Linked DNA regions of Oreochromis niloticus. The protein of the gene in region 3 interacts with the protein of the main gene of each other region in a pairwise test. Links are inferred from orthologs where the notes say so. Each region holds a gene or a part of one and is shown on either strand. Other genes may lie near its edges.

Evidence for each region.
Region 1: the proteins of erbb3b (region 3) and ppm1ba interact in a two-hybrid assay, tested with the Homo sapiens proteins (2 studies listed by BioGRID and IntAct, with this or other methods). The link is inferred for Oreochromis niloticus from reciprocal best matches to the Homo sapiens genes ERBB3 and PPM1B.
Region 2: the proteins of erbb3b (region 3) and hdac6 interact in a protein complementation assay, tested with the Homo sapiens proteins (2 studies listed by BioGRID and IntAct, with this or other methods). The link is inferred for Oreochromis niloticus from reciprocal best matches to the Homo sapiens genes ERBB3 and HDAC6.

The regions. Positions count from the first base shown.
Region 1 is NC_031978.2:11,093,146-11,103,752, reverse strand, and holds the start of ppm1ba (protein phosphatase 1B), read left to right. Parts: upstream 1-6,691; 5' UTR 6,692-6,837; exon of another isoform or gene 6,838-7,123; intron 7,124-7,133; exon of another isoform or gene 7,134-7,264; intron 7,265-10,607.
Region 2 is NC_031984.2:4,904,496-4,915,097, reverse strand, and holds the start of hdac6 (histone deacetylase 6), read left to right. Parts: upstream 1-6,062; 5' UTR 6,063-6,116; coding exon 6,117-6,194; intron 6,195-7,320; coding exon 7,321-7,413; intron 7,414-8,924; coding exon 8,925-9,053; intron 9,054-9,591; coding exon 9,592-9,677; intron 9,678-10,602. Other genes in the region: cxxc1a (CXXC-type zinc finger protein 1a), read left to right, coding at 372-548, 629-730, 801-1,018, 1,984-2,191, 2,283-2,393, 2,869-2,918, 3,000-3,096, 3,862-4,014 and 1 more.
Region 3 is NC_031984.2:19,602,876-19,613,649, reverse strand, and holds the start of erbb3b (receptor tyrosine-protein kinase erbB-3b), read left to right. Parts: upstream 1-6,626; 5' UTR 6,627-7,161; coding exon 7,162-7,237; intron 7,238-8,601; coding exon 8,602-8,756; intron 8,757-8,888; coding exon 8,889-9,075; intron 9,076-10,774. Other genes in the region: arf3a (ADP-ribosylation factor 3a), read left to right, coding at 438-652, 756-866, 1,173-1,297, 1,388-1,549. UniProt on the Homo sapiens protein: Tyrosine-protein kinase that plays an essential role as cell surface receptor for neuregulins.

The DNA.
Region 1 (10,607 bases), on a different chromosome or scaffold from region 3:
GCTCAGGCAGATGATGAGGACGAGGATGAACTGAACGCAGACACAGAGGTGGTGGCCTTCTTCCTGCCTGCTCAGGGAGAAGATTGTCCTTGCTTTGTTAAATGATTTCTTCCAGCTGAACTCTTCCCCCAATATCAGTCAAAAAGAGATCACACAGAGAAAACGAAGATTGCATGTATACCCAGAGTTCCCCGGGTCACCTTGGCATACAGCTCACGCAGTAAATCAATCCATTTATTGCCATTTCAATAACCATTCAGGTTATTTTTGTCACTAGATGCCGTTCACTGTCCAAGTTACAGTCAGAAACTCACAAAGTATTCTTTATATTTTCCCAGATGTGCACATTTTATAACTGTAGTGAACTGTAAAAATGAGCTGGTTTGGAAGCCAGTTCATTTCAGTTGATCTAATCAACACAAATACAGATGTAATTTAAAAATGACTCACTTGTGTCAGGAAAAAATACATTTTAATGCTGCCCATAAATATTTTGGTGGGCAGGATGATGTGCAGACATACCCTAGAGTAAGTTTCTTTAATTCATGCCCACCTGCCTCTCCTGGTATTTAGCACAAGAAACTGATTGAGCATTCAACCTTTTAGAAGATTTTGAGACCATCAATTTTATATCACAACCCAAACGTGCCGTTTCGACCCCTTCGTGCATGTATTCGCTAGCCGTACCTCTTTTTCCCACTAGATGGAGGTGTGATACTTCCATAACACTCTTTCATCCATGACCCAGCACAGAAAGTAAACTCACCCAGAGGTCTAATTTACAAACTCAGGTCAACCTCTGTAGAGTTAAATACTGAAGATTCTGTATTGTGAGGATCTGTAGGTCAGTATAGTTTGATGTTTGCAGGTTTCCGCTTCAGTTCCAGACTGGCAGGTTAAACCTGTGCAGGGTAGTAAATCTGTGGCTTAATGTTCCTGTAGAACAAGCTTTTGATTTGCCACTGAGCATGGTGTTAATGCCATTTCACTTTGCTATAGCTGCTCAGTCTTTAACACATGAAATCTCCCAGGTCATAAATTAAAATATTCAAAATCAACTGGAGAAAGACACAGGGACCATGTTTTCCACAACAGAGTAAATTGAACACTTAAATATGAACCTATTTACATATTACAAATGTATAGGGATACTGGGGTATGAAATGCATGAATTTTAGACATTTAACCTATGGAAAAAATACAATGTAACTAAATAAATAAATAACTGAACAAGCTCTCTTGTGTCTTGCACAAAAAACACATAAGGACACGTGGTATGAGTACTTCATATGAGAATAAATATATTACAAGACATAAAAAACTCCTAGCCTACTATTTTTTTTCTATAGGTGCAACAGTCCAGTACTGCTTATACGTTTACCAACTTTTATCATGCTGACATTTAACTAAGCTGTTCCCTTTCTTTCTTTCTATCTTTCTTAAAGAAGGCTGATTCAAATGATTAATGGCAACATATGGCTGCAGCACATGCCCTCTAACACTACTATACAAGCTATGAATGGACATGTTCCTGTGATACACTAAAACCTGTGGGTGTGTCCAAGCATGTGTCTGCTACTGGACGTTATCGGCATGTGATCAAAATAGTTTCTGTGTGTATCTTTCCCGTGCATGTGTGAGATACTTTCACAGTATGACATATGCTTGAAAAACACATATGTCAGCAAGTGCTGGGCATGCTTGCGAATGACATATGAACACTGTTTTCACTACACGGGCATGCGTGTGTGAATTTATACATCGAGGTTAAGCCTGTGTGTGGTAGTAGTAATCCGCACCGGGCAGCTGCGCTCGTTCGTATTCAGCCCCAAGGCACTTCTAGGCCTACTTCCTGATTAGGGATCAGAGAGAGAGAAAGAGAGGACAGAGTGAAATGGTATAGAGCGGGAATGAGAGACAAAGAGAAAGAAAAAGGTCCTCTCTCATTTAGTAAAGAGTTTGTTAATGTCTATAATCCCATTAAGCAGGGGGAACAGCTTGACCCCTCACATAACATGCATTAATATGTATGGGCGAGTGTGTGGTTGCAGTGTATATTCTTTTTCTCTCACACAAACAAACCCAGACACTTGATACAGTGCATCCAGGAAAAGAAATTGATTGCCCTTATAAACATTTGATAAGGCCCTAATGTAACATTGCAAGCTGTTAAGGAGAACTGGAGCGGAGAGTCATGAAAATGACATGTAAATCAAATGAGCGTTGTATATTTTCAGGCACAATTTGCCAGCAATTATTGTTTTGACCTGGCTCCTCGGTTGACAAAAGAAACCTGTTCCCTCTGAGGAGCAGGAAATCAGCTTTTCAAGTGCTCTTGTGTTTGAAGAGTGGTGAGCAAGGCAAGGCGTGATTGCTGCACTCTGCAGAGAGGATCGCACATGGGGTGATTTCATACAAGGTGAGAGAAAGCAGTGAAGGCCAAAGCTAGTTGTTTTCTTTTCCTTCACAATATACATGCAAGCAGCACTTAACTCAATGTTATCTCAGCTAACTCGCACTGAATCGATCCATGCTGAAAAAATATGATAAAGAAGATTCAGTATTAAAAAAAGAAAAGAAGACCCTCCAGCTTGTGGCCTCCTTCAACCTAAACCCCCGATGGATGGATGGATGGATGGATGGATGGAAGGATGATATGTGCAAAATATAACCTGAATTCCAATATTTTGGGTTGCTGTGTAAAATCTAAATAAAAAACAACATACAATAATTTGCGAACCTCAAATGTTATTCACAATAGAATCGTATCACAATAGAAAAAGTATCAAATGTTTAAGCTGAGAAAATGTACCATTCTAAGAAAGACATTAACTCATTTTGAATTTGGTAGTAACATGTCTCAAAAAAGTTGGGGCAAGACTATGTTTACTACTGTGTAGCCGTGGTAAACATGGGCTTCTGTTAACAGCAGACTGTAAACATCTGGGAACTGAAAGGAGAGGAATGTTGTCCCATTCTGGTCTCATAAGGGACTAGTAGTCATGAGTCTTCTTCATCATATTTTTATTGTATTCATACTATCATGATGCATTAAATGTTTTTAATCGATGAAAAGTCTGAACTGTCTGCAGGCCAATTCAGGACCTGGATTGCAGAATTGGGGGTGGGGGCTTTTTAAGTGAGCACTAATAAAAAGCCAGATGGTTCCTGTCCTCTTTAGTCTGGAGGATGTGTCCATGTTTTCCAAAAAAGAATTTAAATTTTGATTTGTCTGACCACAGAACACTTTTCCATTGTGCCTCAGAACATTTGAATGCCCCTTGATCTGGAGAAAATGCCAGGATTGCAGGATCATGGTCACCCATGGCTTCTTCTTTGCTTGATAGATGGCAAGACGAACTGCATTCAATGACCTTGATTGGAGGAAGTGTTACTGAGCCCATGCTGTGATTTCCATGCTTGTTCTTAATGCAGTGCTGCCTGACTGCCTGAAGAACATGAACATCTAATATTGATTTTTGGTCTTGTCCCTTTTATATTGAGGGACATTATTCAGAAATTCTCCAGAAATGTATACACTCAGTTTTTTGCAGACTTGTTACCCTCTGACCATCTTTACTTCTGAGAAATTCTGCCTCTTTGTGATGCTCTTTTTTGAGATATCCAATTTTAAAAAACAGATATTACTGGTATTACTTGTGATTACTTACATGTGTTCCCACTTAACGTAAATAGTTGCGAAATGTTTCTTCTTCAGTTCCTCCACTTAGTTTTCCAGCATTTTTTTCCAGCCACCTCCTGCCCTCATCCCAACTTTTTTGAGATTTGTTGCTTCCATCAAATTCAAAACATGCCAATGTTTTCCATGAAATCAAAAAAGTATATCAGTTTAAACATTTGATGTGCTTTATGTGTTCTACTGTGAATAAAATGTGGAGTTATGAGATTTGAAAATCACTAAATTTTGTTTTTATTGACATTTTACATGTCATTCCAGGCTTTTTTGGAATTGGGTTTGTATTTACATATAAGCAGCTGGATAGCTAACAGCTTATGCACTGTACAATGCACTGTATAATAGATGTGATATAACACAAGATTTGCCAATAAGGCTGCAAATCCAAACTGAACTGTAAAATTTTCTGGTTAAAACTAATTAATTGACTTTATTATTTTTACGCAACCAGAATGAAATGAAATGAAATAACAAGCTTAAACACATTAAATAATGCAGAATCAAGAAAACATTAAATAATAATAATAAAATTACTCCATTTGGATTGTGTTGAAAAAAATTGCTACAAATCTTATGAACAATTATTTCACATAATAAACAGACCTCTTATCACTCTCGGATAGATTAAGGTCCTGTTTACGCACAAATTTTCTTTAACTAATTTGTTTTATAAGATAAGATTACATTGTTTGGAAACATGTTGTTTGTCTTCTTTTTTTGTGGAAGACTAGTGATGGTATACCTATTCTGAGTTTATAAGTAACACAGTACAGAGTACCTTAAAGAAAAACCAGCTTTCCTTACATGCATATTTTAAACTTGCTCTAAAATTTTGCATAAACTACAGGAAAAACTTTTGCTGCCAGTGGGAAATCTCTGACATACACACTAAATTGTCATATATATTATTGATGGGATACTTTAAGTGTTCCCAATAACTTAGAAATGCACAGAGAGACAGAAAGGCACCAACGTGATGACGTCATGTTGAGCACAGTATATACTGCGAAAGAGAGGAAGGAGTGTTTATGTTTTCATTTGAAAATGAATGTTAAATTCACCTCCACATTAAATAAGAACAAACTAATTTAATTGCAGGTCATCATAAAAGCACCACTGCCTCAACAATATCTTCTAAGAGCAACTCAGCAATTTATTTAAATTAATAAGACCCTCCACAGCCACCATGCCTGTTTGGGCTCATAGAGCTGGGCCCAATGGGCTGAGGCTCGTCAGCAAGCACGCCCTAAAACACATCCGCCCATCACAGGCACGGTAAACTAGTCGCTTGAATCACTGGGCGTGATAATGGATGCAATTTTGTTTCAACAAATAAAGTTCAACTTATTATTTAATTAGGCTGAAAGTTAACCTTCACTCTGTATTATCGCCAATGCATATAGATCAATATTATAGCATATTAACATATATTAACAACTTTCACTCTATCATGCTATCATGTAGTTACCTGTGGTCTTACATTTATTTTAGTTGAAGAGAAGCTTCATATGTGAATATGGTTATTTACACAGTATGTAAATAAAGTGGTTACACTTTACGTTGGGGCAACATCTACAAAGTGACAGTCATTTGTTTATGACTGATTCATTTACAAATATTTTATAGATGAATTATAAGTAATTACTCTGTGTTAGTCCTGCCACGGTCCAAGGTGTACCCTGTATGACAACAGGATTAGGCTCCAGCCCCATCCTGCAACCCTGAATTGGATACGCAGAATAACATGGGTGGCTCTAAGTAAGTAGTAACAGCTTTTTGGTTGCCATATTGTAGAAATTCCTCCTCTATCATGACACTTTGCTCACTGTTTGTTATTGGGAAATAAACTTTACTTACTTAAGCAAATAATATATTATAATGTCTATGATTATATCTAGCTTATTAATATTAATAACCATGGCTTGATGAATTGATTGCCTTTAATGTTTTCAGAACATTAGGTCTGGAGGTAACTAATGTTTGCTTATGGAAATTTCTTACTAATATTTACTTAATGGCTTGGAGGAATCGTCAATCTGAAGACTGATAATTTTTTACATGGAAGATAACTGGAAGATAGTTTTTACAACTTAGCAACCCAAAAAGTTGCTGTGATATTAATTTGCAGTGGATTTAAAAAACTTTCACTATGTGATCCATAGCACAGTGGGTAACAAATGACTGAATTTACTACTTAGAATGTAAATTTCCATAGTCTAGGTAACCATTTTGCCTCACACATTTGAGTTATGGTTCTAAAAGACAACCTTCAGTCCATTTCTTCCTAGATTTCCTCAAGGTGCAATTACCAATGTCTCACTTGGCCACAATATTAAAGCCACATGTCTAATGCCGTAAAGATGTCCTGTATGTTGCCAAAAGAGTTTGGATCAGTTAGTGTATGGACTCCAGATCCCATGGGTGTTCTGTTTGGCAACTGGATGTTTAGATCCTTTAGTTCTTGTGCATGGTGAGGAGAAGCCTCCATAGACTTGCAATCTTGGTAGTTTGTATGCAGGTCAGAACCTAGTGCTTTTTGCAGGGCGGTGTTGTGCACTGTCCTGCTAGGGGTGGGCACAGCCTTTGGGGAGTGCCATGTGTTGCTTGACCTGTGGCTGTGATTAGGTAACTGGTAACACTGATACTTTCCACAGCTCTGTAAGTCCCATCAATATTGTAACTAAAGGATTAATTCTCTTTACTCCATTTGTCCCCATTTGGCAATGGAACTGGCAACAACTAAATGGGGTGTTGCACTGTTTTTATTAATTACTTCCCAACTGTGCTATTTATGGCACGCAGGCACCTCTCTTCTGAAAACAGCATATGAACGGAGGAGAAATTATAAATCACATAATCTCACCAAAGGCAAATAAAAGAAAACAGCTGGATTTTCACAGTTTATGTTTTTAGAGAAACAAATTGACTGGTACATTAGTTGACCAATCGTATCTCAGCTTCGAATCAGTTTTTATCCAATCACAGAAGAGAGCGATAGTCTTGCCCCTCCCAAAAACTGGATGCTGAAAAAGAACGTCATCTACCTTTTTACATTTAGCTTTAGCAAAAATTAGCTAGGTGTTCAATTATAGATAAATCCTGCCGAACCAAGCGTATTTTCTTTTGAACCGACAGCCTAAGTAAGAGCGATATATTTGGCGCTCCCTGGTTTTACAGTGCCAAACATGTATGTAAAAGCCTTACGTCGATGCAGAGACATGTTGAAAGGAGAACTGGTCGTGTGAAACGCTGGCTAGCTTACTCAAAGCTAACTGACGAACAGGGGCCGAGAAGCGAAAGTGGCTAATATTAAGGACTGCTAAGCCTATCACAACAAGGCTGGGTGTCTTAGCATATCTACCGTGATCACGAGAAGAGGGGCTGATAGAGGGAGAGTGAGAGTGAGAGAGATTCCTTTCATACGCAGTAAGTAACACTTGGTACTCGGAATGAGCAACGAATCTACACTGGCTAGCGACCCGCTAACGTGTAACGTTAGACAAACACTTTGACAACTGTGAACTTCGCTAGCTGGTTAGCTAGCAGTGTAAGTGGCCTCTGTTTTAGGTAAAGAGAATCGAGAATTGGCTTGATTTTACTTCAGGATCTCAAAGTACTGTTATTTATATGTATTTATTGGGACAGAGAGTACGATGTTGTCGTTGACGCCGGTGTAGCTACACTTACTAACACGCCCGAGCTCCATTCAGGTGATTTTCACATTAATTGTAGCGTTTCACGCACTTGTCAATATTCAAATGGGTTATCAGCGTCACGCTGCTGGCGGATTAATGATTATCCATGGGTCTATCCATGTGATCCGAGAAGGTTTGGTTTGTCTTTATTTGCTTATGGCATGTGTCGACAGTTTTTCTCCAGTAAATTTATTTTTAATCTGATTCATGAGTATTTGCAACAGGTGCGAGTTACGTGGAACTGGTTTTAATGTGTAGCTTATTCTGGTTGCTGATTAGCATAAAGCTAGCTTTTGTTTTAGACGTATTGTTTACTAACAATTAGTTAGTAAAGTAGAGTCTAGCTTTATTTTAAGCTCGTCCATGTTTTCGATTCCCATTTGCTCCTATGAAGCTCCAGTACAGGGATTAACTTGTTTTATTGCCTTGTTGTGGGTACTTTTATTGGGTTGTTGGTGTGTGTGGCAGTGTGTTTGTGTGACGGTGTATTCCAGAAATGGCAGCAGCATCAGTGGCATGTTTGTGTTGGCACCTTGATGTGAACTCCTGCAATAGCCATGCTCTTTTAGCCTATGACTGCACTGGGTGCATGGGCTTGTCCGAAGGCCTTTATCTATACCCATGTGGTTGTCTTAGTGTGAACTGAAAGGGTTCACACGCAGATGTAGTGGCAAGCCTTGAATAGCTGACAGATTAATTTGTGTTTGTGCTTATGTCTCAGAACAGGGTGATAGTATTGTTTAAGATTCTTGAATCAGCTTGTGGGGTTATGTAAATGCTGTGCACGTGCTTTTATAATGTATCCCAAAGGAACTGAAAGTGGTTTTAGTGCATGCTTAAATACTCGTTTATACTTGTTTATAGTCCCTCATCATTTCGCCACTTCTGAGAGTTGAGAAATGATGAGAAAACAGAGGTACATATATATACCGTGCAATGCAAAAGTATTTGCTCCCTTTCTGATTTCTTAATTTTTTTTAACCCATTTTTCACATTTACATGTTTCAGATCATGAGACAAATTTTAATATTAGCCAAAGCTAACCTGAGGAAATATATTACTTTTAAAATAAATTATTATGTTTTTTTGTTTTTTTTTAAAAACTAACAAAACATACCTGGCATACCTGGTGGAAAAAATAAGTGATTATAAGGTAACTGTGATTAACCAATTTTTTTTTTTGGGAAAGCTGAGTTCAATTTCAAATAGCCACACCTAGGCCTGATTACTGCCAGACCTGTTGAATCAAGAAACCACTTAAATAGAACCTGTCTGACAAAGTGAAGTAGGCTAAAAGAGCTCAAAAGGCAACACATCATGGTACGATCTAAAGAAACTCAATAAACAGCAGAAAAACAAACTCACTGGCATCTGTCAGTCTGGAAAGTGCTTCAAAGCCCTTTCTAAAACTTTGGGAACCTAGCAGCCATTATCCACAAATGGAGAAAACTTTAAACAGTGGTGAAGATTCCCAGTGGCTTTCGACCAAAATTACTCCAAGTGCACATCAGTGTCTCATCAAGGTCGTCACAAAATAACCCAGAACAGAATTGCAGCTCACTTTACTCACTCTGTAAAGTCAGAGATCATGATTCAACAATAAGAAAACGACTTCTGGGGTTGTTTGTTGCTTCAGGATGTGGACAATGATCCAAAACACACCAGCAAGTCCACCTCTGAACGTCTCAAAAAACCCAGAGAAAATATAGGTTTTGATGTCGCCTAGCTAAAGCCCAGACTTGAATCCCTCTGGTGTTGCTGAATTAAAACAATTCTGCAAAGAAGAGTGGGACAAAATTCCTCCACAGCAAAAGCCTCATTGCCAGTTATTGGTGCCAATGCTGGCACAACCAGCTAATAGGTTTAGGGGGCAATTACTTTCACACATAGAAAGGGTCAGGTAGGTCTCAGTATTTTTTTTTCCCTTAATAAATAGAATCATCATTGTATTTAACCGGGTTATCTTTGTCTGATATTATAAGTTTGATGATCTGAAACGTGTGAGACAAAAATGCAAAAATAAGAAATCAGGAAGAGGGGGGGGCAAACACTTTTTCACAGCACAGTATATTGCAGAGAAACCACTTGCAGTCCAGTATGACATGACACATGTACTTTCAACCTCTTTGGTCTGGACTGACATCCCCATCATCTGTTCAAAGAACACTTGTTCTGGGAAATTGACAGCTTCAAAGATGAGTCATCAAAGAGAGGGGGATCTGTGTGTTCCAGTTGTCAAATTTGTTTAAAAAAAAAAAGTCAAGGTTGAGGTAAAGTTGTTTTTTCTTTTTAATCATAACTGAGAACAGTGTGTTATACCAGCTGTTCACTGCCTTCTTTATAAAATCATTAAATGTGGATGTGGCTAATGGGTACTAGCAAAAAGATGATTCATATAAGCACATTAGTAGAAACTGAGCATTTACATGTCTGTATGTTGTGGATTTTCTCTTCAGAGATGGACTCAATTGTAGACTTAAACTATAACAGTCACAGCTCAGTTTTTTTTTTAATATTGACTAGCTATATGTGTCTTATAATTTGTTTTTGGTATTGTGATCTAAGGAGGTCATAGCTTTCTTGAAGTTACCCACTGATTAGTGAAGTTAAATTATGATGCCTCAAGCTTCAACTATTTGCCATTGCCATCTTGATATTTTGGTAAATCTGACAGTGACAAACATTTAACAACTTATCAGTCACAAATTGTTGGCATACCCTGAATAATCTTCCTTTCCAAACATGAACATAATTTGCAAAAGTTCAATTCATGATGCCCTGGAACTACTGTCAGTCTTCAGATCTCAGATCTCATTGTACAACCGTATAGTTACGATAAAGGCATTCTATTCTATTCTATTCTATTCTATTCTATTCTATTAGAATGGATTTTACTTAGTTCATACAACATATAGCAAATTTCTCCAGGTAGAGGATAGGAATTTAAATCTGAACACAAATAAAATTAAAAAGAAAAGTGAATACTTTGGGAAAGAAATATGGCCAATGGTTACTTTTGAGGTGGTAATGCAGCCATGTCAGTTCAGAAGATTAATTCAGCAGCACTAAGGTGTTTCCTTTATTGAGTTAGCTTTGAAGTTGATGACTTCCATGCTCCCCCTAAATATGTTGCATTACAGTATAGTTGTTGGGTTAAGTTTTTGTTTCCTAACTCCACTACTTTAGTTGTGTCCATCGAAAGACAGGATGCAGCA
Region 2 (10,602 bases), about 15 Mb from region 3:
CTGGTTGGTTCCTGCTCCATACTTTTTTTTTTTTTTTTTTTTTTTTTAGATGTTTCTCACGTGACATCATGCATATAATGCTTGTGAGTGGTCCAACATGTTGGACTGGATACAAGCACTGATAGCAAAGGAAAAATGTGTATTCCTGGACTGGTTGGCAAGTGATTCCTGGGCTTTGAGTAGTCAGTAAGATTAGAAAATACTTTATAAATACAGGTATATATGAAAGAAAGGCATAATGGGTCACCTTTAACAAGGGATTCAAATTGATGGTGAACTGCTAACTCGTCCTGATTGTTAAAGATTGGCGAGAGATGTTCATTATTGCTGTACTAATGATGCTGTTTACTCTGCATATGTTCTCTGAGCAGAAGATGCTTCGGGTCAAGGATGAGGAGATGAGTCGCAGCGGGGCCAGGGGGCGGAGCCTGTCGAGAAAAGGGCCAGGGCATCACACTGAGGAGGAGGAAGATGACGAGGAGGAGGGTTTCAGTGAGAGCGAGCTGGAGCTGTACGAGCAATACAAAGCTGCCGGATACAGAGACCTGGTCAGTGTGTGCAGGTGTTTCCAACCAATCAGCTGCCAGACAGGCACTTCCTGTGTGCGTGACACATCTTCGTGTTGCAGGTGTGGCACAGTGAAGAGGATGATGCTCAGTCCGACTCTCTGAGGAAGAAGGCGGTGAAGGTGAAACACGTGAAGAGACACGAGAAGAAACCAGAGAAGAAGGTGAGGGCGGTTAGATCACCTGACCACAGATGTCACTGATGATGTCACTAACATACCTGTCCACCTGCAGAAGTCCGTGTCTGTTCCGAAAGAGGAGGTGAAGCCTCGACGCCACAAAGTGAAGCAGCGTCACAGAGAGCGTGTGCGGCACAGTGAGCGAGCAGGAGAGGGTGGAGTCAAAGAAGTAAGCGGAGGTTTGAGGCAGTGTCTGGGTCCAGGATGCATCGAGCCGGCGAGGGCCAACTCCAAATACTGCTCTGAGGAGTGCGGCATGAAGCTCGCCGCCAAGTGAGTCTGAGATCATCTAAATGTTCATGTGAACACAACACGGGCTGACACGGCGACCCCGCCAGAGAATTTTAGAACTGCTGAATTTAGAAAGTTTGTATCAAGATTCCTTTTAGACACAAGTTATAACGGCGAAGTCACTTACCGTATCTAATTGGACCGTTGAGTCCATTAAACCTTTTTACACGTGAAAAAAGAAGTGCATACTATTTGCTCCAAACACAATGTTGCAGGTTATTTCTGAAATACAAAACTCCTTTGGTCATCTTTCCAGAGGTGAAACATGTTCATTGCTGTCATTGATTGTTTTTTTTCTGTTCAGTCACTTTGCTGTGCAGCAGCTCTGAGAAGGTGAGAGGACTTGCCTAATGTGAATTTGACTGGCTTCCCATTCTTCTCACACAATTCCAAACAGCATCCAGCTCAGCTGCTTAGCATAGATCGGACTATTTAAGAGCATGTTTTGCTCACCGCTTTGGTTTTGGTGGTGATATCATCACATATACCGCTGCAGTAAACGATAGGTGTTGCCACTCAGAGAAAACCTCTGCATCATCACTGATGAAGAGGAGAAGTTGAACCAAAAGGGAAGAAACTGCCAAGATTTTTTTCTCCAAGGTTTTCTCCAGAGTCTCATGAAGCTGTTGCAGCATCTCCTCGCTGTATAATCTGATACTCTGTGCTTCTGCACTGAGGTAAAAAAGATTGGCGGTAAAAACCACCAAAATTGTGCATGACCGCCCGAGATGATAGCAAAATATGATTTGTGCCAGCACTTCTAGTGCCGTGAATTAGGTGCCGTGTACACCCTATTACTGTGTACTCTGGGGTTTCACCCAGGACCTCAAACTTATGCAGAAAGCAAACATCAAATTCTCTGTTAACTTGGTGTACATTGGTTTCTCAAAAACAGTACATGTTTCTGAAATCTGTTGGTTCTTTGACGCCTCGTCTCTGTCTCTCAGTCGCATCTATGAGATCCTGCCTCAGAGGATCCAGCAGTGGCAGCAGAGTCCCTGCATTGCCGAGGAGATTGGACGCAGACAGCTGGAGCGGATCAGGAAAGAGCAGCAGGCGGCGAGGATGCGTCTCACGATGATGGAGAAACGCTTCCATGAGCTAGAAGGCATCATCGCCAACGCCAAACTTCAGCAAGTCCAGCAGCACGAGGAGGTATGTGGCAACCGCAGCCACCCAGTGCACTCCGCTGTTAGTGTGATCAGCTGTTAGTTGGTCTCATCTGCGTCTCTGTTTGTCTCTGCAGGTGACTGAGGGTGACGGTGACGACACAGACTTTCAGATCTTCTGTGTTTCCTGCAGTCACCCCGTCAATCCAAAGGTGGCTCTGCGTCATATGGAGCGATGCTACGCTAAGGTTAGCTTAAAGAAACAGGAAGTGTGTCCACCTGGGGTCTGAACTGGTTATGAATTACAACTGCCTTAATGAGGTGATCAAACAGGAAGGTACTAACAGCAATGTGGCAACAAAGGCCACAATAAGCCAGTGAAATGACCTTTAGCAAATTCACCCAATGCTGCTGTTCAAATCTTCTGTTTAAAAGAGCTACTCTTCTGGAGTTTAATAATAAATGAGGATAATAAGTTCTCCCTAAAAGATTATTGATGTAACCTAGCACCCCTGAGGTCCTCCTGATTTAACAACATTGGTCTGAGTCTGCACATTAAGTCAGAATATTAGCAGGCATATGGTGGTTATGGCACAACAACTAGTTTTACATCCCCTAACATGACAGTCAGCTGTTCTGAGGTAAAATGTGGGTAATGTAGTCATCAACTTGATTTAAAAGGAAGACTGTTTAATCTGATCTTTCTGTTTCTTTGTCCGACAGTATGAGAGTCAAACATCGTTTGGTTCCATGTATCCAACACGCATAGAGGGGTAAGACCGTGCATCTGTCCGTCCCTCCTGTCTTTACCCGTCTCTCTGTTTGTGTCTCATCTCTCTCTCTGTGTCTCTCAGAGCCACCAGGTTATTCTGCGATGTCTACAATCCTCAAAGTAAGACGTACTGTAAGCGGCTGCAGGTTTTATGTCCTGAACACTCCAGAGATCCAAAGGTTTGTTTATGTCTACAGAAAACAACTTATGACTCGATCAAGGCTTTAATTCGCTGCTTTTTTCCTCGCTTGCTTAAACTCAATGGAGAACTTTTTATTTTTATTTTAGCAAATGTCTGTCGGGCTCTAAAATATTATGTTGGTGTGCTCTTACAAAACTTATCAGCTGTGGATATTTAAAAAATGTTTCTGTTCACGTTAACTTACTGTCTCAAGTCTTTAAAGGACTTAACATCAGAATTTGGATGATACATAAGTTTTAATGTGGCATGTGGTCCTGAGTCTGGACTCAGAGTCCGGAGAAGGGTACAAAGTCAGGACTAGCTGGTCCTGGACTCTGGTCCTGACTTTGGGCTCAGAGACTCAGAGTCAGGCAGTCAGGCCTGACTGTTTCCAGACTCTGGAGTCTTTGGTCCTGACTCTGGAAACAGTCAGGCAGAGTCTGGATCTGACTCTGGACTAGCTGATCCTGACTGGATCGTTGGTCCTGACTGGACTAGCTGGTCCTAACTCTGGGCTAGGTGGTCCTGACTCTTGTTCTGGCTCTGGACTGGCTGGTTCTGATTCTGAACTGGCTGATCCTGACTCTTGCTCTGAGTGCAGGATCAGCTAGTCCTGACTCTTGTTCTGACTCTGGACTCACCGGTCCTGACTACGCTAGCTGATCCTGACTCTGGACTAGCTGATCCCGAGTCTGGTCCTGGCTCTGGACTCAAAGTCAGGCAGACATTTTCCTGACTCTTTGTTATTGACTCCCTGTTGCAGGTCCCAGCAGACGAGGTGTGCGGATGTCCTCTGGTCAAAGACGTGTTTGAGCCCACCGGCGAGTTCTGTCGGGTGTCTAAGAGGAAGTGCAACAAGCATTACTGCTGGGAGAAACTTCGCCGCGCCGAAGTCGACCTGGAGAGAGTCCGAGTGGTATCTCTATTCATACAAACTTTATTTAGTGCCTCGTCATTAACATTAAGACACACCTGGATGTTTCTAACTCTCTCTTTGTCTCTGTCAGTGGTATAAACTGGACGAGCTGTTCGAGCAGGAGAGGAATCTGAGGACCGCCATGACCAACCGAGCCGGTTTATTGGCTCTGATGTTGCACCAGACCATCCAGCATGACCCAATCACCACCGACCTGCGCTCTGCCAAGGACAGGTAGACAGGTGACGTCAGGCAGACGTTTTCCTGGATGAGTTTAATGCTCGTTTGCAATTTTATTGTGGAAATTTGTGGGAAGGTGAGTCAGAGCAACGTTTCATTCACCAGTGAACAAAAAACAAGAGAGATTTGATTCTGACTCCAGCCTCATTCAAACTCAGACCTCATCTGATTTTAGGAAGTCAAACCGTTTTTATATTTCATATTCACACTACTAATGTAGGAAACCTGAGCTCTTACAATCCATGGATGAACACTCAAATAAACCTTCTGCTTAGGTAACACTGCAATGTCTGCTGGATCTCAGCTTAGCTTTGTGGGCAGTTGTATCCTCACTGTTAGTTTTAATAAGTTGGGGATGACTGGACACACAAATATGATCACATTTGATCCTGAATGAGCCATAATGTCTAAAGAGGTGCTCATGTGTCCTCCTCCTACTGGAAAGCTGCTCTCATTCAGTTTAACCTACAAGTATTACACTACCCACATCCGACCAATCTGAAATGTGACTGTGCTTTGGAAATGTCTTAAGGTTGATGATGAAACACTACATGTTCACTAAAGATGCACACATTTTATAAATCTCGAAGTCATCTTGTTACAAGTCATTCCTCCTTGTTTCTTTTTACAATGTGAGCCTGTTGCAGTTTAAATAAAAATTGTGTAAATATCAGTTTAAACTTTCCCCCATGGGATCATCAAAAAAAAGTAAGCATAGAAGAAAAAAAAATGCTAGCCATAAAAAGATGGATTCTGTGACTTGATTGACTCTTGCTTCAGTCTAAGTGAATAAACAGTCAATGGGGTAAGCATAGGGAAATTACTTTTAAGCACAAAGAGCTGAAGTCAAGTGAAATTAATTAAATAAATAAATAAAATGAAATGTCCTGATAAAGAACTCTTGTTTGTATATTGATGAAAGTCAAACTTTTCTGTGTGACATTAATTTCCCTCTGAGAGGAAACCCTTCATTTCGATCTCAGTGTCTCCTTTTTTATATCTGTTTTTATCCTCAGTGTTATCAGTATGTTGTTATTTGTTAAAAATGTTTCAATAAAGTTTGATATCTCATTATTTGTGCTGATTCTGAGCTTTTCTGTTCTTCGAGTGAATGCCAGTGCTGCACCAATTTACTTTAAACTGCACCACAACAATAAACTGGCTACCCAACATGCTTTTTTTAATAGACCAGTAAAATTTCATACATGCAACATAAAGCAGAGAATTCATGAGAAAGATATGAAATCTAGAATTGATTGTAATTAAATTCAGTTTTATTTTATTTTATGTTATTAGGCAGAAGGAAAAAAAACTATACATCATTGTCATTTTTAGTGTGAATAAACGGCCATAGTATAATATTAGGAAAGACATAGTATTATTATTAAAATTAAACAGCAAAAAGGAAAAAAAAATTGTAAAACAACAGAACAAAAACCCAACCATAATAATACAACCTACATTTTGAAGACGCTATTTGTTTTAAGCACATATGACTCTATAAAGATTAAGAGAAAAGCTCGCGACATCGATCTCTAACGTTTTTTAGTTTTAAATTATTAAAAAAGTCCCGGCGCGCGCCACACCCCTGGCTACGCTGCTCGGTGACGTCAAACGCCTCCGACGGTAGCGGTGTACGGTTGGCGCTCAGCGGCTCGGAAACAAACAGTACACTTCCTGGTCGTCCCGGTTCCGGAGGCTGCAGCGGGTCTTCAGACGGATTTTGACCTGGTTTCAGGGTGTGGATGTTTTCGGCTGACTGTGAGTCCCAGTTTATCCGCTCAGTCTGGGTGTTTCATACTAAGAACAAGCTAGCAGGAGGCTAACAGTCTCTGCTGCTTCACTATTTACACCGAGAGAGGATGACCCCGGTCCCGGTCCTGGCCACGATCATGATCTTAGAAAAAGCATTTATGCATCAACGTGAAACTGAGCTGAAGGTGTGACAGATATATTAAAATATATTAAATAATTAAAATAATTAAATAATAATTAAATAATTCTAAACAAATATGAAAAACAAGAAACATAGTTCAGTTCAACTATATATGCATCCATAACTTACAGTAGTAGTCATTTTTTTAAGGTCAACAATAATAACAGAGAGAAACCAATGAATGAATTGATCAGGACTTGGCGACAGTAGGAAGAAGAAAAGCTACTCTGAAATCAGAAGATACCACTGCGCAGGCTGAAGGGATGAGAAGAGCTTAGAGAGACAAAAACCTGCATAAACAGAAGCAGACTGGTATCTTTTTCAAAGAATGTCTAGGAAGACATTCTTTGAAAATAACACAATCACTCCTGGAGAAGGAGATGATGCTTGAGGAATGGAGAAGAAGTGTACTGGTACAGATTTTCTAGAGCAAGGGTGATGTGCAGAGCTGAGTAACTACAGATAGATAAAGTTGATGAGTGTGAGAATAAAGATATGGGAAAGAGCTGTTGAAGTTAGGTTAAGGAGCAGCAGTATGGATCATGCTGAGAAAGAGCTTGGCAGATGTGATGTTTGCTTTGAGAGTGTTGATAGAGAAGTATAGAGAAAATCAGAAGGAGCTTCACTGTGTCTTCGTGGATCTAGAGAAAGTTTATTACATGGTACCCAGAGAGGAAGTCAGGAGTAGTGGGGAAGCATGTGAGGGTGGCGTGACAGTGATGGGTTCAAGGTGAGAGTGGGATTACATCAGGGATCAGCTCTGAGCCCCTTCTTGTTTGCAATTATGGTGAAAACAGTTTTAAGTAATCAGAAAAGTGGCCGGCTTATAAAGCTGGTCTCCTGAGTTCCCAGATGTTTACAGAGTGTAGTTTAAAAAAAAAAAAAAAAAAAAAAAAGGTGACGAAACTCTTCAGTCTCAAATTCAAAGTGAGCAGAGAGATTTAAGTAAACAAAAAGTCTTCTCAGTTTCAGCATACTTGGTTCTGTGCTATTTGAGGTTAATTAAAGGATTTAATTAGTTTGGATTCTCATTCACACATTACACAGTCGTGACTCCTCTGTAACGAGGCTTGTTGTGGCTCGCAGGTGTGAAGGTTCTTCTTCATGTGTCTTTGTTATTTTTGATTCAGGTCGATCTGCGTGGATCAGTGATGCAGTCGGGGTCAGATCCTCCAGGACATGGACCGAAGCCAGTTAGAAGATCTCCTCGTCTGTCCCCTCAGGTCAGTCATCCGACACAGTGATACACCTGGTTTTAACCTTCACCTCCTTTTAAACCTTTTTGCCGCTCAGCCATAAAAGGCTGACGGGGTGTTGTCATCACCCTGCCAGGTGGACGCACAATGTGGATACTCAAGTTTGTGAATGCGATAACTCGAGAATGAAGGAGCTTCAAATTGATGCCATGTGTATATCTACAAAAAATCTCAGACAAGTTTGAATCTTTGTGACCTCGACCACATAGTCAAGGTCAGAGGTCAAGTTTACTCAAAATCCTATGGACGCGATAACTTGAAAACAAGGTGACATACAGTAGGATTTTGTAATTGATGCCGTAGGTGCATCTACTAGGAGGCTGAGAGGTAGCATTGGTTGCTACCATTATTCATTTTCAATATTAGATTAGTCATTTACTCTGCAGTCACTCTTTGCGGATTCCTAGTTAGCAAAAAGTGATCAACATGCCGTATGCCGCATGTCTGAGAGCGGCCAGCCTGGGTTCAAATCCAACCTGCCCTTTGCAGCACGTCTCCCCCTCTCTTTTTCCCTCTGCTTTCCTGTTAGTCTTCACTGTATCTGCCCAATAAAGCCAGAAAAAGGTAGAAAAATATATATTAAAAAAAAAAAAAAGTAATCTACAACAAAGTAAGCAAACTTTATAGTTTGATCAGTATGGCCTTTAGTATGTAGATCGGGGGTTGTATTAAAAGTGTGAAGGTTTGTTAGTTGCAGCTTTAACTTGACTGGGTTATTTTAGTGACTTAAATGAGTGAGTTTGGATCTATTCATGTCTAACACCTATACTGTTTTCTCTGTCTGTGGCAGATATTATAAAATGTTCTCATGTCAGTGACTGATTTTCAGTCATTTTAATGCAGAAAGGATTTTAAAAAATGTATGAACAAAATTGCATTTATTGAGACAATCCTCATCTGTCACTCCTCATAAAACACATTTTATTTGTTTCAATAATGCTAAAATGAAGAGAAAGAATAATATTGTAACAGTTACAGTCAGTAGATTAGACAGGCGACCCTCCTTTCTCCATACGGAGCTAGAAATGAGTAGTATAGTTCCTCTTTAGGGTTAAAGTGATAAGCTCGATTTAACTCGTTTTTATCAGTGTTACTATTTATAATGTGTTAAAGTTTACAGGTTGGCTTTAGCTGAGTTCGAATTATTGACGAGTAAAAGTGGGCGAGGCAATCATTCATTTATCTGAGGTGAACTTTTATCTCAGATTGTCGTGCCTCTCCTTCGATTCTGCACTCAGTTTCATGTGAACACCTGAGTGTTTGGATCTGTTGTCAGTCTGCTTTCGTAACACCAGACAGAAACAGCCGACCCTTTTATTTTCTTCTTCTTCAGCTTTTCCTCTTTTAGTTATTTGAACTCTTCTTCTTCTGTTTCTTTGCGTCACGTTGGAGCGCTTGTGATTTAACCCTACAGCGTATCAATTTGCTTCAGTCGCAGCAGAGAGGTGGGCTTCAGCTGCTCCTGTTTATGTTTGCAGGTCGGCAGCAGTGAGGGAACACAGGAGAGCAAAGGAGGAAACAGCCTGCAGGAGCTGAAGAGGAGAGGAAGGATGGAGAGGACCAGAGAGGAGCAAGAAGAGGAGCTGAGTGGCAAATTGAAGACACTGGTGAGATTTGCACTCTGTTTAATATTTGAAAAGGTTAGCATGCACCTTGGATCTGCAGTGTTTGGAACAGAGGTGAGATCTCTGTGCTGGATCCTCAGGCCATCTCTGACCTTTCCACCAGTGTCAGTTACACCTGTGAAGGTGTTTTAAGGTTTTAAACCAAACCCTAAAGATGGACATAATAAAGTAGAGATAAGTAATGAAATAATATAAGCCTCCAGAAGCTCTTATGAGGAGACAGAACGGTGTTCCCAGCCCAGCTGAGAGACTTCATGTCATGTCCTGGGTCTGCTCTGGTTCCATCAGAAACTGTGAGAGACAAAGTGTTTGTTTGGTGTGACCTGCTGTGAGACTGTCAGGTGGTAATAGGTGGGGGTGAATAGGACTGTCTCTGCAAGTCATAAGCTAGATGTATACCTGACATGGGCACTTTTGCATCCTGAAACAGCACATTATCATATTTGATCAAAAATGAAGTTTTATTTGTTTATTTTTTCTGTGTGTGTGTGTGTGTGTGTGTGTGTGTGTGTGTGTGTAGGATCTGTCCAGCAGATCGGCAGCCAGTGGAACGGGTCTCGTTTACTCTGAGATCTTCACCCACCATAAGAATGAGTGGGACCCGAGGTACCCAACACCTCAGACGGGGGCTGTGCAGTTAAATCAGATTTTAATTACAGTTACATTTTTGAATGACATTGATCAGTAAAAGACAATAATTGAGTTTAAACGATTATTGTTTTATATTTTGTTTCGGTTCCTTTCAAAATTCAGTCCACACCAGGCTTCAGCATGTTCAGTTCGATTTTTGTTGTTTTTGATTTGTTTTGTTTTTTTTCCAGTGAAATATTCGTTCATGTTTACAGATACATTGTTGAAACTGAAGCTGTCAATAAGTGACTTAAGTTTAATAAGTAATAATTGTGATTTCTGCTGTAGTCTGACCTCTTCAGAAAGTTAATCAGCATCTTTGCTCATAACTGATTACCTGAGCTTCCTTTGCTTTGCCCTGTGTCCCAGTTTCACTGACTTGTGTCTCTGTTTGGCAACCTCAGGAACTCATGTTTTCTAAACAGCGAGTTGATTAATGGAGTGAATAATGCAGAGACTAATCCATGATGAATATTTAAGAGCTGGATGTTTTTTCAGATTCACAGACTGTCTCCATCATTCAGCAGCTCAGCGATTTCCTTCAGGGCAAAATTTATCATTTAAATTAAATATGAGCCTGTTTGTTAGTTTCATTTTTTTTGCTTCCTGCTTCTCATCTAAAGACTGTAATTAACTTTTAATTCATGCAAAGCAGGCTCCTGTTCTGCTTATTTGCAATTTTTTAATCAAATTTGCATCATAGAAGAAGGAGATCAGCTGTTACAGCTCCTCTGTTGTAGTTCATATGTAGCTAACGCTACAGGGGAGTCTGTCTGTATGATGTTATTCTTGGACCTGCGAGGTCCAAGAATAACATCTTTGCATTTCTAGGAGTTTTGGCTTTTGTGTACATCATTTTTCTTATTTATTCTTCTATTTCTGTAGTTTTTTAATATATCAG
Region 3 (10,774 bases):
GACAGCCTTAGGTTATGTGTCATAATAACGTAATATGAAATGAGTGTTACCCTGGCATATCTTCAGTTGCCTAAAAAGAGCATAAAAAGGTGGTTACTCAGCACCACATGAAAGCTGAGCCACATAACAGAGATCCAGCATGGCTGCCTCTTTTCCCAGTGAGCTGTCACTGTAAAGGAGCAGCTTTCGAGTCAGGTCAGCTGCCTGCCGGGGTGTGAAGTATACGTTTCCTGGCTTTCCTCTGAGGGGGCACGGCTGCGAGCCGTAAGGGAGGTGCCAATGCTGAGAGGTGCTTTTGAACAGCTACTGTCACACCACATGTTTCTTTGTGTGTGTGTGTGTGTGTGTGTGTGTGTGTGTGTGTGTGTGTGCATGTGTGGTTTCGACTCTCTAAACGTGGTTCACGGTTTGTTTTGGCTGCTTGTTGCTATGTATAGCAACAAAGCAGCCCGTGTAACAGTTTTGTTGCAGTTGTGCCCCCACCTCCTCTCCTCCCGAGTCATCATGGGAAACATCTTTGGGAACCTGTTGAAGAGCCTGATAGGCAAGAAGGAGATGAGGATTCTCATGGTGGGGCTGGACGCTGCAGGGAAAACCACCATCCTGTACAAGTTGAAGCTGGGGGAGATCGTCACTACCATCCCCACAATTGGTGTGTGACTGTCTGCCTCTAAATAAAAAAAAACCCTGCGTCTTAGAGATTGTCCAGATTATGTGACCCATTTTCTATTTGCTTGTTGTCCCATCCACCCCAGGTTTCAATGTAGAGACAGTGGAATACAAGAACATCAGCTTCACTGTGTGGGACGTGGGTGGCCAGGACAAGATCCGTCCTCTTTGGAGACACTACTTCCAGAACACCCAGGGTGAGATGCATCAAAAGCATCTTAGGTGAAAGACCAGCCGGCATGGTTAGAGTTTTTTTTTTTAAAAAGGCCTCTCCAGTCCTGTTGCAGATCCTGGAGCACACGCTCGCCCCCAGCACCTGAGGACAAAATCTGACTAATCCTTCAGATGATGTCATTTGCATACAGGCTCCAGCTGTTTCAAATTATCATCATCTTAGTCATGTTCAAATCCCGGACAACCATTAAACATGCTTTGGCAATATGCTTTTCTAACAATGTGATGTGACCTGATTGTTTTTGTTCGGTTTAAACTTATTCCTGCAGGTTTGATCTTTGTGGTGGACAGCAATGACCGCGAGCGGGTCAACGAAGCTCGAGAGGAGCTGATGCGGATGCTGGCTGAAGACGAGCTGAGGGATGCTGTTCTTCTAGTCTTTGCCAACAAACAGGTATGCGCCACATTACGTTTCCCCCTGCTTTTACGCCTCTTGCCTCACCAACTTCCTGACGGACACTTTGTCCTCTGTGATTTTGTTCAGGACCTGCCCAATGCCATGAACGCCGCAGAGATCACAGACAAGCTGGGCCTGCACTCCTTACGTCACCGCAACTGGTACATTCAAGCCACCTGTGCCACCAGTGGGGACGGCCTGTACGAGGGTCTGGACTGGCTGGCCAATCAGCTGAAGAACAAAAAGTGAAGGGCCGGGTCAGTAAAGTGGGGAAGAGCCTGGGTGCCAGCTCCAGGTTGTGGTTATAGGGGTTCCATTGTGTTTACATAGAGAGGAAAAATGCTGAAAAGCTCCCAGGGGGTGACTCTCAGTGGCTTTCTCCCCTCCCACCATCTCCTCCCCACCATCCACCCTCGAAATACTTCTTTATTTTTTTTCCGTTCTTTGATTAATTTGATTTGTTTGAATCTGTGGTGAGCATTTTTAATCATTTACAAGCAAACTTTATCTAAGTTTTTTACAATCTATAAACAAATAATTATGTACTGTATAATATTACTGTAAAGGTATATGGATTTGCTCTACTTTGCAGACCTCCACCAACATTTAATTAGCTCAGCAATTGTGATGGATCTCAAATCGTGATGGCAGAGCAGCCTTCCCTCAGAAACTACAGACCTGGTGTAAATTACAAAGAATGTCATAATATTATAGTGGGAGTACTATTACTATTATACTCGTACAGATAAATGTAATATAACTGTCCATACTGCAACCAAATTATGCTCTTCATAGATCAAAACTTTTAGCTATGATTTAGTTTTATTTATGCTGAATTAAACAAAATGTGTCAACTTTCTGGACAGTCTGAAACAATATATTTAATATTAATATTTATTGACTTTTTTTTTTTGCGTCATATAGTTTCTTTCCCTTTATTCTAATGTGCATTTACTGCTAAAGGCAGCTAGTTAAAAAAAAGAAAAAGACAAGAAACCCCAGTATCACTGTACATTACTGCTTCCCAATCTGCATGGAGATATCCCAGTACTGGCTCGTGGGCTTGTAACAGGCCGCTGCTGTAAATAAAGATTTGTTCTAGTTGAGTTGCCTGGCACAAACGGGGTTAAAACAGTTTGTCTGGCATCAGCGAGGTGTGATATCTAAAGTGATACAGATGACAGAACAGGCACTCTGTACCAGCTCTGTGGCTCAGAAAAATAAAATGCTGCTATTGGCCTGCCCTGTGGAGAGTGATGCAGCACAGCATGTGACTGGCAATATTAAGAGAGCTTACATAGTTTTAAATTTTTGTTTTTATTTTTCAATCCGTTTGTGCAGCATCGCTTCTCATGCGGATTTATCCACCCTTAACTGGCATGACATTATGCGTGTCTCGCTATTTCATGTTGCACAAAATTACTCTAGACTCACTGTTGTTGTACAGAAGGTGTTGTCTGTTTTTTTTAAATGGGGTGTTTCTTTATTTTGTTGAGTTATTTTTTCCTTAATTAGCTAATTAGGTCAGACTGTTGCATTTTTTTTGTTTTGGGGTTTTTTGGGGGGGAGTTTGTTCACAAAAAAAATAATAAAATAAGGAGAGAGGATGATAGTAATACTGCATCGTAAGGCATGTTAATACTGTACAAGATCTGTAATAAAAGCGAATTATAATAGCCTGTTTCCTCAGACTATATTTGTTAGTCTTAATCATTGCTGCTGGTTGGAACAATGCTGTACTAATAAATGTTATGGATTTAGTGTAAAGTTTACCGAACAACCTTCTAATATGCAAAAGCATGCTTTTCTATGTTGGCGCAACTGTATATATGTTGATGTAACCGGGAAAGTGGAACCGTGGTTTTCGGGGTGAAACCAAAAGCGCTGTTGATACACCTGTAGATAATGGGGTCAGCGTGTTGGCAGATAACTGACAGCAGCTTGTGTGTGCGTGTGTGACGTGCATTATATTCCGTTCGGTTTGGTGTGAAAATTGTTTTCGTGGCCTTATTTAGCCAGTGGTTTCATTTCTCTTTGATAACAGGTTTATATGTAAGAAATATCCAGCATTCAAGTATCTCACCTATGATCTGTGACACCGATGCACTAGCAGTTCCGATGTGGCTAAACATCCCTCCCTCTTTCAGTGACTATTTTCAGATTTTAACTTTCAAATAAAGAAAAATATTAAATGAGGCTGCACGACATTCCAGCTGGCGATTTGCTCTCAGAGAGAAACAGAGTATAATATGAAGAGGGGGAAATTTAAGACAGAAAATCAGAAAAACCTAAGCAGGTGCAAAAGTGTTGAATGATTTAATTATTCCTGAGACTACATCAATAAATAAAAAGACCAGAGTATACATTTGCTTTGCCTTGCTCATTTTTTTCCTTGCTATCGTTTATCGTCGCACGTGTTGGTTTGAAAACCCCAGCACGATTACGAGCGTGCTGTCTTTATCTTCTCTTGTCTGTGGCTCAAACTCAATTTCAAGTTGACAGTTCGCCCCAGAATCAAATGTGCGAGTCATTATTTGTCAATCATTGTTCTTGGATAAGTTGCCCAGTTTTGAAGATGTTTGTCTGCTTGAATAAAAGGAAGCTACAGAGTATACTTGTGGTGCTCAAAGCACCAAAACACTATGTTTGATGTGGGTGGTGAGTGCAGTGTGGTAGAACGAAGGCAGTTCTCACACAAACTACTGTATTTGATTTGGAGGTGATGTGTCCTTTTAAGATCCCTGCTAGGTTTCTTGAAACAGTTTGGTCCTCAATTTGTTGGACAGAGACACTGTTTTTGTAGTTTTGCTTCTGTACAGTCATTTTTGAGTCAAAGGACAAATTAAACACACAATGTCTGAGGTTGATTCAAAGTGTAGAATTTTTATTTTATAGTTTTTATTGTTATTTTTAAAACATGAGGCTCATAAGAGATGTCATTTCAAGTGAGGGAGACAAGTTAGCTTGAAAAACCCAAATAAATAAGAGCAATAATGAAATAATTAGGAATGGCTGAAGCAACATTCTTAAGAAGTATAAATGCAGTGATCAAGTCAGCAGCTCCCAACAGGCCTGGAAGACCAGCGAAGACAAATGGAGTGCATGATGACAGAATTATTTCCATGGTTAAGAAAAACGGCTTCACAGCATCTAACCAGATCAAGACCACACTTTAAGAGCAGGCGTGTGTGCATGTCAGTCACATCATGACTGTTTGATTTAAAATCTGCTGTGGCGGTGTACAGAGGCAACACTACAAAAACTCTGTCTTTGCACAACACATTATTGACCTTACTGTACTTCTCCTTCATTGATGAATCCATAATAAACAGTAAAATATTTAAAAACTCTTAACTGTTGCCTCAACACATATATGTTCAATTGATTTCATGTGTGCACCGGAGGTTTTAAGTTGCGGCCACATCTGGCCTCCAAACTGGTTGTGATGTCACAATATCCTCTTATGCCTACACATGTTGAACTTTGATTTAAGGTGAGTCCAGAAGGACGTTCTTTTCAGCAGATTAATAGGAAACAGCTTTGACGTCCCTTATGACGCATGTATCACTCTGCACAATAAAGGTCAAAAATCTAAATGTGAGTTAGACTGGGTTTTTTTTAATGAAGTGGGAGTTGATCGAGAACAGTTTTAACTCAGTAAACTGTTTACCGTACCAGTCATCAGCTAAGACTAAAATCAGACTAACAGCACATATTACACAACTGTGGGATTTGGCTCTACACAGCCTTTCTTTTGTCCTTTATTAACTGCTGTTATCAAGAGAAGTTTGGCACAATCAGGTAGTTTGCCTGTGGAATTGCTGCACTTCACAGAGAGTCATTTTGTCTGAGCCAATCAGAGGTCCATGTAGGGGAGAGTGCTGCTGTGTCTCCAAGGGTGTGACAGCAGTATGTGAGTCGGAGCTGCTCCCGGGGCCACCAGCCCCCTTGGCCCCCTGCAGGACCGCTACAATAGTGGCCCCAGGGCGGATGCCATAGCTGGGATTCCCACTCGTAACCGGGACACCTTCGCCCAGGGCACAGACACACTGGCAGCAGCCCCACAATCAATTCATCAATCTCTGAAGGGAGTGGCAACTCCAAAAGGCCACAGCAGGCACCCCTCACAGTTCCCCTTGGAAGGGACAGGGCCACCAGGGCTGACACAGAGACTTGACACCATGGTGGCGTTGTGAAAGTGCCAAGCTCTGTAAATACTATAGGCTGCTATCAAAGCTATCTTGACGGGACAAACAGAGAAACTCTCATGTGAAAAATGAACACACGCACAAAAAAAGTGCATCTGGTGACAATCTTACACTTTTCACCGTTTTACTCAGCAACAGGAAAGTTTCACACTGACTGCTGTTTATGAAACAAAACAACTGACTCAGTCTTCAAGATTTCTTCCAACATTTTTGGGGCAATGGTGTTTTTTTCCCCACAAAGTTTTCCACTATTCAGTGACTGACTGGATTAAAGGCTGATTATTTTATTATAAGAAATTAGAGATTGGATCAAATGTCCAATAAACAGTGTAAAAATAGCCATCCATGTGCAAACGCTGAGTCTACCCACCACAGGGCCCTGCAGCAGCTGTGAAATAGGACGCCTAAGTGTCAGACTCTGGCTCCTCCTGCTGGACAGAAAAAGAGGCTGGAGTAGGGCATTTGAGACTCCTGCTTTAAAGTCCAGGCAGATGAACAACAAAGACATTAATTACTGTACACATAAACCGCGCTGTGGTGTTATTTCTTGGCGTCTTTTACCATCAGGTTGTTGAGACGAACATTAAAATCCAAGTTCATCTCAATCTCACCATTCTTCCCATTTCCTGCACATGGATGCTTGCAAACAAACTGTGGATTGTTCGGCTCTCCCCTCCCTGCCGCATTCAAAAATAAGATTAACAGTACATCTGTCAGAAGCGGTTAATGATTTCCATCCATTAGTGGCCCGTTTTCACCCGCAGCTCCGTGTTCAGGAATCTTGTCTGCTCCGAGGCCATTTTCTCAAATTAAGCATGTTCTTGTTTTGGGTTCAGAAGTCACTTGACTGTCTGACAATGTGGCCATTGTGGCAGGCTGCTCCATACGCATCAAAGAGGTGATTAACCAGTTGACAGGGCTGCGGGGACAATACTGCTCTTTACGGGGGGAAACAGTGCGGCCACTCAGAGCGCTGGGCTCTTACTGGGTGGGGGGACCGAAACGCTGCTTCCACTGCTGACAGCATGAAACAAAAATAACTGGTGTTCACACTGCTGCACACGGCAAAGATTCACATCCAAAATCAGTTAAATGCTACACTGAACGACCTGTCCTTGTTAGTCAACCGAGTCTGTCTCAGTGACTCGTGTGTCATTTAGCTTTTTTGTTATTATAGTGTTTTAGCCACGCGTGTTTGTAATTTTTTAAGCTTTCTGTCAGCAGTATTATGTCAGTCGTTTCTCGAGGGCTTCATAAATTTAGCAAAATTCTTTGCTTTAGCGTAACAACCGAGGCTTCAGCTCGAAATGACGGACAAACCACTGATTGGTCGGGATATCGGCCAATCACACGTCCCCATCTGGGAGGGAAATTCCCTCATCACAATAAACTACAACTTGTTCTCAGTTTTTCAAGTAGTCTGAGGGATGTTTGCGGTCTTATTAGGTGTTTTGAAGGAGTTGCACTTGTCCTTCACTTTGACTCATGATTTGATCGGATTTTCCCTTTCATAGAGACTTAACTCTTAACTTTTACACCCCCTACTGTATATTCTTTAGTCAAAGTTTTCCCTGCAATACATATTGGCTCTTCGGAGGACTACCTAAACCCCTGTGATATGCATAGATCTCCGTGAACAGGCTGGACATCAGCATGGAGCAGTGGCGAGTCATTTTACTGGGAGTGATTTTGTCTTGGAGACTTCGAACATCATCTCAAACGCATGAAGGTGAGGATATACGTGATTCTACATCTGAAATCCTGTCTTCATTAAGTTTGAATCTCGTGAAATTTAGATAATACCTCAATTACCAGACAAATTCTAGCAATAGAATAGAATTAACTGTATGCACTTAAAGCTTTCGTAGTATAAAGTGATAAACCTCACCATGCCATTGTTTGCTTCACAGCTCACCACTCTTCCTTAAAAGCTTTTTTATTGTTATGATTAGGGTCTTATCCAGGCCCTTGCACTGCACTGTAAAAATCTGCAGAGAACAGCAAAGATTCACTTTAAGAACCTCTATTTACCATTAACTGATTGTCACGCTGTCACTAAATTCTTTCTAATAAAATTTAATGTGGTTATCTGCAGTTACAACGACATTAATGTGTCTTTGCTAACATTCAGATCTCCCTTTGAGATAGCTGTCAAACAATCACACTGTTTTTCTTTCCTGTCAGGACCTTTTGTTTATTTACTAATTTCCGATCACTGAGCCCTTTCATGAATGTTTTATGAATGTTTTTATAAATACAAAACATTAACAAATAATTTAAGTACTAATGCCTGTTTTTGAGTATCCTAAGTATGAGTTGAATATTATTGAGTCCTCCCAGATTAGCTGAATGATTCAGGGCCAGTGTTTGCTTAAAAGAGCCATGTATGAATATAAGTGTGCATTAGGCAACAGTCCTTTGTCAGCATGTAACTTTCCATTGTTATTATGCAGCAGTCTTCAGGGGCCTATAGCTGTGTGTTATGTGTTCATAACGAAGACAAGAGATGTGACTTGTGTTGAGTGAGTGCTGCAGGTGGCTAACGTTTGCACATTAAAGGACCAGTTCCTCAGTTTTCTTGCTGGGCACTCAGAGATGGTGTGTATGTCACCTTCCGTTCACGATATTTCCCTTCCCTCTGCCAGAGAGTCCCATTCACACACGGCCCATTGTCTTTTGGTATGATCTCAGCAATGCGTGGCTTGCAGACGCACATGCACACGCATACACAGAAGCACTGTCTGTCACTGCAGCACTCATCACTCACTGAGACACACTGTCCACATTTATAGCTTTACAACAATGAAGCACTTTGTCTGAGGGGGAAAAAAAAGAAAAAAAAAGTCACTCTCTCTTCTGACCCCCCTGGCCTCCTCTTCATCAGCCCCAGGCCTGTACTGCTCCATGTAAGCGGGTAACAGCCTGCCTGTTTCTCTCTGCTTCACATCAAAATCTGTAGCCAGCACAGGCATGAACACAGCATCAGGGAGAGTCACCAACCCTATAAATACCACAGACACAACACAGCCCACAGTACTCAGTTTCCCAGTGTTATTTACGTTCATTTTCATCTTTATTCCCTATCTGTGTTAGAAGTGTGTCCAGGGACGCAGAATGGACTCAGTTCCACGGGCTCTCAGGAGAACCAGTACAATCTGATTAGAAACCGGTATTATGGCTGTGAGATTGTAATGGGAAACCTGGAGATCACACAGATTGAGAGTAACTGGGACTTCTCCTTCCTCAAGGTAAATGTCATGTTTCCTTACTCTCCAGGCCTCCAGTCGGTAAATTTGAAAAAAAGCGTTAAAAAGTGGAGAGTATATTGTAGAAGTAGCCTCTTATATTGCCTCTTATATTAATGGTCTTCTTCACTCTAGAGAATCCGTGAGGTGACTGGCTATGTCCTCATTGCTATGAACCACTTTCAAGAGATTCCTCTGGGCCAACTGCGCGTCATCAGAGGAAACAGCCTGTATGAAAGACGTTTTGCTCTATCGATCTTCCTCAACTACCCCAAGGACGGCTCCAACGGCCTACAACAGCTGGGACTCGCAAACCTGACGGGTTAGAAGAACAACAGAAAAACAGATATTAGAGAAAGAAAACGTTCAATGTTTGTTCTGTAAAAGAAAATGCTTTCTGAAACCCAAGGCGTTTGTAACAGTGGGGAGTGGTGCATTACATAAAATGGAGCAATTAAACTCAACATCTCAGATCAAGCCTGGTCCTACTGGAAGTCCCTGCCATCAAATACAGCTGTGGTCAGAAGTTTACATTGTTAAGGTTCATTGTTGAGAGAGGAATCCATAAATAACCACAGATCCGGTCCAGTGTGCAATTAGACAGTATTTTAATAAACACATGTGTGAGTTCAACAACCCAATCAGTATTGAACTGTCTTTACCATATTCAGACAACAGTTTTATAGGGTTAAGATAGTACAGCCCCCTTTTCTGTTGGTAGGCAGATTTAATACAGCATACGTCAGCCTAAACCACAAAATGTTCCGTGAACTTTAACATAGTTTAAAGTACATTGTCTTCGGGTCGGTGCTTCCCCTCAGCTCGTCTTCGCTGTCGCTTATCTCCTGGGACATCTGTTGCACTTCCTCTAAGTACGTCGGCACAATTCTGCATTTGCAGCAAAAATACATCTTCACTTCTGCCCTACCAAAATAGATCTATTATGGTGTGTATGTGTGCACGTGCGGGGGCGCGTGCGTGCTGTGTACTGTGTACGTGTCATGACCTCTCACTATTTGTGTCTGTATGTGTGTCTCGCCCTTAAATGCTCTCACATCTCACCCGTTACACTTCTGACCTTCACGTGACCAGGAGCCACAGCTCTTTAATATGCTCAAATGCAATCATGTATAAAAGATTAAAATCATTTTCATAACACAGGCTTCTCCTTCTCAGCTCTGCCAATATGTTTGCTCGTCTCTATTACAGTTTGATCATTGAAAATTACACTGATCAGCATACTATGTGGAAGCTACAGATTACATAATGGCAAAAGCATTTTGTCGGACCCCTCATTCCCCCTTTTGACCTCTGGCTGACCAGAGGTCACCATACTTTCAGGTGCATCACTCCTTGTCCCATTCAGCTGCTTCCCTGTCCACCCCTGACGTCGTGGACTTTAGGATCACTGACCCTCTCTTGGCATCCTGTGACTTAGCAAACCAGACAACCCCATGTCATCTAGGTGGTCTTAATAATAAAATGCCCGCTCCCACTTGAGAACACTCATGCTTGAGGTTAATCACACCAAAGTATCAGTGAGCCTAAAGTTGATCAGGGGCAGGAGAGAATAAGAGTGCGAGCAGAGCTCAATCAGCACTCCTCCCTCACCCCTGAACCCAATCATACCCGGTGAGAGACCCCTTACACTTGTGAATCTCTAGTGGTCTGTCCCTTTTCTGGGTCCTTCTCTTGTGGAAATCTTCTCCTGTAAAGGATAGAAAACACCTTCTCCCTACTACGGCTCTAACTTACTCTGTTCCTCAAGTGCTCTCTTTATTCAAACTTGATTCAACCTAATATTACACAAAACATGAACCTAATTTCGTATTTGGTTTTTGACTTTTATTCCTATATAATCTTAAACATCACTCATCTCAATCTACAGCATTTTAACAGTCTTACAGCACTGCTGCTACCCCTCAACATCCACTCAACATGGGCATGAATGTCATGGGAAGTCTGGGCTTTAAATGATTCCTTTGAATTGACCGGGACCTTTCTGTGTGGAGTTTGAATGT